Linked DNA regions of Callithrix jacchus. The protein of the gene in region 2 interacts with the protein of the main gene of each other region in a pairwise test. Links are inferred from orthologs where the notes say so. Each region holds a gene or a part of one and is shown on either strand. Other genes may lie near its edges.

Region 1 (3,749 bases), on a different chromosome or scaffold from region 2:
ACTGGGGCTCTACAGCCCCGCCCGTATATCCTGGGCAGGAGAAGAATCAGTTGGACAAGTCATTGCTCTGGTTTTCAGTTTATTTTTGGTATTTAGAATTCCCCTTCTTTTCTTATCGTATTAGCTGCATATTGAAAATAAAATGTTATTTTTTTTTATCCCGCATTACTAGCTGTTAGTTATGGAAGTCCATTATTTTGCCAGCTCAAAAAGTAACATTTTACGGCTGTCAGTACACAAGTTAAGTTTGCGGATAAGGGTCATAGCCACTTAGCCCTGTAGGAAGGAGTGGTTCCCAAAGTTATGTGATTGGCTCCATCACCTGCCCCACAGGTCACTCCTGCTCTGGGCTCTTGCTCTGACCATGAGAATGTTCTAGAATTCTCCAGGAAGGCCTAGCTTCTCCCTGTAAGGCCTGGAAGGGGAATTCTCCCATAAAGATGTAGGATCCCTGAGCGAAGAGATATTCTTTTACTCTGTTCACTCCTGCATCTGCAGTACCTGGTAATCACAGGCAATTGGTAACTGTTTCCTGAAAGAACGAACATCCTGAATGTCAAACTGGCATTTCCTCCTATCCAACCCCTTCTATCTCAAACTTGACAGAAGGGAGTCCAAGTTTCTGGCCTGTGAATCTTCCGTTTTCCACAGACTTCCTTCTATTTATTTCTACAGGCATTTAAAAAGATTTTGAGATGGGTGTGAAGCTAACAGTGATTGGACTGACCCTGTGCCTTCGAGAAACCATTTTGAAACTACAGCCTAGACACATTAGATTATTATTTTTTAAAACTGTACCATATATTTCAGTAGGCATGCTTATTTCAACGGTTTTTAAGGGCATTTTGGAGGTGATGTGTGTGTCTGTGTGTCTGTTTGTTCATGTGAGGGCGGCGCCAACCTGGGACCAAGACACTGGCCCTACGCGCACACCCACACACGCCCTGCGTACCCTACGTACACGCACCGTGGGCGCCGTCACCCCCCCGCAGGCCCCCCCCCCGCAGGGAGGCGGGGGCGCTGCCACCCATTGGCTGAGGCGGATACCACGCGCCCCGATACCCGGCGCAGGAGCCACCTCCCCGCTCCCCACAAACCACGCCTCAGTCCGCCTGCGCTCCTCAGCCTGACGGACCGTCTTTCGGGGCTCCTCAGCTTTCTCACCTGCCTTTGGTTCCTTTGACCACTCGAAGCCGCGCAGCGGGTTCTAGCGGACCTCACAGCAACCCCAGAAGCGGTGCGTGAAGCACAGCCTCCAGTCCTCGAGCTAGTCGGAAACTACTGTCTGCCGCCATCATGGTGAGTTGAGGGGGAGGACTGAGGGGCAAGGTCGGCGGGGTTTTCAGCTGTGGGTGAAACCCGGCTTTGCGGAGGTGGAAAGCGAAGTCACCCCGGCTTTTTTGTTTAGGGGCCCCGCCGTCTGGACGCACCACGAGTGGTGGCCTGCAGGGTGGGGTGAGGCGGCATGGCGGCCGTGCGGCCTACACAGAGTGAGGCGCTGAGGTGGCGGGACGCCGAGAGTGGCGTGGTGGTGTGGGTCCTGAGGACGCCGCCCGCTGCTTCTCAGGCCATGTGCAAGGGCCCCGGCTTTAGTGTGGTACCTATTTCCCGCCTTGCCTGCCGAAGTTTAGGGTGCGGGTTCCCCACCCCCACACGTCCCTACCCCTCCCCCACCCCCTGCCCCTCCCCTGCCCCCACCCCGTGGCGGGCTCCATCCTGCCAGCCTTACTTCCGGTGGTCTCCGCGTGGCTTTTTGAAGATGGCGGCAGGCCTGCTGAGCGACTTGCCTCCTTGGACTCAGAAGGCGGGAGCTTCCTCAGGAAGTGGTTCCCTCCCGGTCTTTGTATGGGGTGGTGTGGGCGGGGTTTGTGGGGGCCTCAGCGTGGGGTATGGGGAGTCCTTAAAGCGCAGCCGCTAGCTGAGTGGAGCTGGGCTGGAAGTGCCTCTGGTCCCCTCGCGCCTTCCACCTGCTGGGGACTGGCTGATGATGGCTCCCTCGTCCAGCAGTGACAGGCACAACTCGCCTGACGCCATCTTTGTGGCACGAGGTGGCCCTCAGTTGCCATTGAGAATTTTAGAATTTTTGTACTCGGGGCACAGTTTTTTTCCTCTCTGCATAAACCAGGAATCTTTGACAAAATGTCCATTTGGGATGGTGTTAGGTATACGGTTCTATGAATTTCGTAAATGCCCTGCGTTGTTTCAGTGCCACCACGAGATGCAGCTCTGAATACACTGACCAACCACTGAGTCACCAACGCGTGTATTATATGCTGTGTGTTTGTCTGCATTGATAATTCTGTCTCATTTTTAGAGATAAAAGGAAATTTATACACAGTTTATATTAGCATGTATAAACATTAAAATAAAAATATAGTAATAAAAACAACTTATGTAATAATTGTGCAACATGTAGTTATACTAATACATCACCTTGAGTTATAAGTAACAATTTACAATACTTTTTTTGTAGGAGGTAAGGGAAGAAATGCTAATAGTTTCCTCGGGGTTTCTGATTATAAAAGCATGTTTACTCATTTGAAAACAATCACTGTAAGAAAATAGCAATCCATCTTAATCCCAACACTTAAAAACACAGTTAAATTTTGATACAGGTATGCCCTTCCAGATTATTATTATTATTATTTTTTTTGAGATGGAGTTTCGCTCTTGTTACTCAGGCTGGAGTGCAATGGCGCGATCTCGGCTCACCGCAACCTCCACCCCCTGGGTTCAGGCAATTCTCCTACCTCAGCCTCGTGAGTAGCTGGGATTACAGGCGCGCGCCACCGTGCCCAGCTAATTTTTTTGTAATTTTTAGTAGAGACGGGGTTTCACCATGTTGACCAGGATAGTCTCGATCTGTTGACCTCGTGATCCACCCGCCTCGGCCTCCCAAAGTGCTGGGATTACAGGCTTGAGCCACCGCGCCCGGCCCCAGATGATTTTTATGCAGGAATAGCATATAGATGGGCCACTTTTTACAAAAGTTGCTGCATAATACTGTTTTACAGCTTGCATCTTTCAATTAATGTCGGCATTATTCTGAAGGTAACTTTAACTTTCAATTTATCATGCTAAAAACTATACCTTTATTTTACCGAATTCCCTTATGATGAATAGTTTTTCAGTATTAAAACAATGCTATTGTGGCCTGGGTGCGGTGGCTCACACCAAAGTCATGGGAGGCTGAGGCCAGCGGATCTCTTGAAGTCAGGAGTTTGAGACCAGCCTGGCTAACATGGTGAAATTCTGCCTCTACTAAAACAAAAAAGCCGGCTGTGGTGGCGTGCACCTGTAATCCCAGCTACTCAGGAGGCTGAGGCAGGAGAATCACTTGAACTTGGTAAGCAAAGGTTGCCGTGAGCTGAGATGGTGCCACTGCACGCAGTCCAGCCTAGAGACTCAGTCTAAAAAAAAATGCTGTGAATATCCTAGTATGTATCTTGGCACACTTGTACTATTCCTTGAGATGAATTGCTGTAAGTGGAATTGCTGGGTGAAAGCTCTTTGCCCCTTTTATAACAATTTTAAATTATGCTCCTTGTTAGTATGGTGGTGAGTATCCCCGCCTATCCAGTTTTGATAACACCTTTTCCAACCTACTCTTGGGTAAAGCGTCTATCAGTATTTTCCCACTGTTGGCATATGTTCCCACTCTTTTCCACACATTTTCCAATAAAAGGTATTAGGATTTTAAAAATTGTTAACCTAATAGCTGGAAAATATTTCAGTATATTGTGCACTTT
Region 2 (3,675 bases):
TGCAAACCATCAAGAACAAATCGGACACAGTGCCTGTTACAGCTGTGTGACCTGGAGCAAGTTAGGTTACAATCCTGGAATCACCGCGGCTTTGCACCGGGGCCACGACAGCAAGGCAGATTTGGTATCCAACTAGCCTGTAAACCCGGGAGGAGAGAGCGTTAGGTCCGCGAGAAGGAAAGACAGCCAACGAGTGAGAATCACTGGCCCAGCTGGAGACCGACCTGAGTTTCCTTTGTGTGCACCCGGGCCAAGCACTGGGAGCCGACAATTTGCTGAGAGCTGGCTCCACTAGCCTGGGGTGCAACCACGAGAGTGACAACCCTCTTGTGGGGTACAATTTTCCACGCCCAGACGCATCTCCATCGTGGGGAGGCACAGGGTGAAAGCTTAAGACCTGAATTAACGTCCAGCTCTGGTTGGCGCCAGCACTCCGGAAGCGAAATGCCAGGAGTACCCCAAGGTGGGCGGCGCGGGCGCCGACACCCGCACACGCAGTTGGGCTAAAACAATGAGCAACTGGGGAGGAAGCCGAGGGTGAAAGGATTCAGAAGTCGAGGCCCCACGCGGGAAGACAGCTAACACAGCGTTTGGCAACAGCACGCCTGCGCTGTCCGAGTCCCGCGGCGACACAGTCCGGAATAGAAGCGCGAGCCCACAAGGTGAGGGCGGGGGAGGGAACGCCGGAGACGCGGCCGAACACGTGAGATCGCAGAGAGCGTGCGCACGCGCAGAGCGCCCCGGGCCCGCGCGGCGGGAGCGCGGGAGCAGGGATGCTAGGCATTGAAAGGAGCCGCGCCTCGGTGAGCGCTCCCCCTCCCCTTTCTCCCGGGGTGCATTGCGCGCGCCCGGTGGGCGGGGGGAGGGGAGGGGAGGCGGCGGTGGCAGCCATGTTGTTGTGAGTCTCTGTGTCTCACCCTCGGTACTTCGGTGGTTCGGAGGAGGAGGGGGAGGAGAAGGAGGAGGTGGGGTGGGGGGGGAGGGTGGTAGGTGGAGAAAGAAGACATTGCCGCCACCGAAGGCGGAGGAGGGGGAGGACCGCCAAGAGCGACGCCGCCGTGTGCCCAACGGTCGGTGTCCCCGGCTGAGGCAGCGCGGCCGCAGCAGCCCCGTAAGTCATTCCGCGCTTGCTCTTTCTCCGGTCCTTTGGCGCCGCCGAGGCTGGCTCCCTGGGCTTTGTGGGGCGGCCTTAGCGGTAGCCGATCGCGGGTGGGAGGGCGGACGGGGCCTGCGGGGTTCCCCGGCCTGTGCGGCCTGGGGCCGGCTCGCACAATGCAGGGGGAGGGGCGCCGGAAGGGGGTGTGCGCACGCGGGGGAGGGGGCGCCGCGCCGGCCGCTTTCCCGCTTCCTTCCCTCCGGATCGCCGCAGCCACCGCCGCCTCGGGGGCATGGGGCGCGGACCCGGGTCTCCCTCCGATTCGGCGCGCTGGAGGTTAGAGACCGAGCTGTCGCCCTTGGGTTCGGAAAGTGGGGGAGAGGCCGGGTGGCCCCAGGGAAGCATGCGGATTGCAAGTGGGTGAAGAGGAAGGAGTGGGTTTATGAAAACAAGTGTGGGCATTTTCAAAGGCCCGAGTGTGTCCAGGAAAAGCTTGCCGTGGACAGACGCGGGTAGGAAGCCGTGACTGGCGTTCGCCTTGTTTAGGTTATGTTTTGTTCTAGGAACAGATTTCGATACTCAGAAAAATATGTAAATTAAAACCAAAGACAAGATCAGCGGCTTCTGCCGTTTGAGCAGTAGTTTTGTATCTGAGTTGGGTCACATTTTTGGGGAAAACATTTAAAGTTTTATGCCCAAACACGTGTAAAAGTTAGTGTTATTTGAGAACACAGCTAAAGAAAACCTACTTAGCTTTTCATTCTAACATGTAAACTTTTGGAGAGGGGAATGTATTGCCAACATATTAGGTGCAATAAGGCGTCATGTCAGGATTTGGTACTTGATTTTTACTTGAGAAAACTGGGGGGCAGATGTTTGGTGAAACTGTTGAAGGAAAACATGAGAAAAATGCTTGTAAATACTGAGAAGAAATGTAATACCTGTAAAGGTACTGTATGTCAAGAAAACAATTTTAATAAAGGGAGTTATGGAAGGATTTTAAAAGCTTGTTTAATGATTAGGTTTGGTGTTTAGTAGGTGACTCTTCATGTGACGTGGAGTATTGGAAGATGACTTTAAGGAATCCTGTAAAAAAATACAAAAATGAGTATTTTCAATTTGTTTCTATTCTTAGTCTTTTAAAAAATTATTTACTTCATTTGTTCAGTTATGAATAAATGATGGCATTTTCTGTGCTGCAAGAATTTCTTTAAAATTCTGATTTTTGGTGAAATTGCATTGTGTAAAATTTTCTTGGTGTCCATGTGGACAGTTTGTATGCAGAAAAGGTTTACGATAATCTTAAAAATAAAATTACATTTCAGAAACCTGTTTCTTGAGGATTTAACTCCAGCTTTTATTTTTTTTTTTTTTTTTTTTTGAGACGGAGTTTTGCTCGTTACCCAGGCTGGAGTGCAGTGGTGTGATCTCGGCTCACCGCAACCTCCACCTCCTGGGTTCAGGCAATTCTCCTGCCTCAGCCTCCCGAGTAGCTGGGATTACAGGCACGCACCACCATGCCCAACTAAGTTTTTGTATTTTTAGTAGAGATGGGGTTTCACCATGTTGACCAGGATGGTCTCAATCTCTTGACCTCATGATCCACCAGCCTCGGCCTCCCAAAGTGCTGGGATTACAGGCTTGAGCCACCGCGCCGACCTAACTCCAGCTTTTTAAATCTGTTTACAAGTCTAGCTGTTAGGAGTTACAGTTGCCATTAACAAATTTATGCATCTTCCAACAGTTTAAGCTGTGTTTAACACATGCTTTCCTTAACTTCATTTGTCTTGAGTCCAAAGTTTTCTTAGGTGTTTCAGTATTTAGCAAGATTTCAATTTCTAAAAAGAACATAAATTAAGCTGTCACTTTAGGCTAAATTCTCAGGCGTTACAAATACTGTATACAAATTACCAAATAATACTTGGATTTTGTTTCTCTTCAGCATTCCATACTTGTTTATAATTTTTTTTTTTTTTTTTTGAGACAGGGTCTGGCATGCCCAGGCTGGAGTGCAGGTGCTGAGATCCCTGCTCACTTTAGCCTCTGTGTCCCGGGCTCCAACTGTTCTTCCATCTAAGCCTCCTGAGTAACTGTCGCTGGGACTGAAGGTGCACACCACCACGCCCAGCTAATTTTTGCGTCTTTTGTGGAGACAGAGCCTCACTATGTTGCCTAGGCTGGTCTCTTATGTTGCCTAGGCCGAACTCCTGAGCACAAGCCATCCTCCCACCTCTGCCCAGATTGCAGAACCAGTAACCGGCTTGTTTGTAAACATTTCTGGTGTTGAAAGATAATTTGCTTATCTTAGGTAAATGTAATTATGACCAGAGGTTTGGGCCAGGTGTGAAATTCACAGCCAGTTTTCTCAGTGACCAAGCTGTCTCCTTTTTATAGATTCTCACACGATTTGCATAATTTTAAGTGGAGGTTGGTTCCTGTCTCCTGAACTCAAGTTCCGCATATGTCCTAACTTAAATACCGTGTTGGGTTTCTAAGATATGGAAATGCTCTATATTTGTTCATATTCTTAAAATTTACAGATATTTAAAATATCTAAATATTTGATTTTCACATGGTTT

The links.
Region 1: the proteins of PUM2 (region 2) and DAZL interact in a two-hybrid assay, tested with the Homo sapiens proteins (2 studies listed by BioGRID and IntAct). The link is inferred for Callithrix jacchus from reciprocal best matches to the Homo sapiens genes PUM2 and DAZL.

What each region holds. Positions count from the first base shown.
Region 1 is NC_133518.1:55,391,392-55,395,140, reverse strand, and holds the start of DAZL (deleted in azoospermia-like), read left to right. Parts: upstream 1-1,091; 5' UTR 1,092-1,296; coding exon 1,297-1,299; intron 1,300-3,749. UniProt on the Homo sapiens protein: RNA-binding protein, which is essential for gametogenesis in both males and females. Plays a central role during spermatogenesis.
Region 2 is NC_133515.1:94,857,486-94,861,160, forward strand, and holds the start of PUM2 (pumilio homolog 2), read left to right. Parts: upstream 1-730; 5' UTR 731-803; intron 804-857; exon of another isoform or gene 858-1,111; intron 1,112-1,335; exon of another isoform or gene 1,336-1,432; intron 1,433-3,675. UniProt on the Homo sapiens protein: Sequence-specific RNA-binding protein that acts as a post-transcriptional repressor by binding the 3'-UTR of mRNA targets.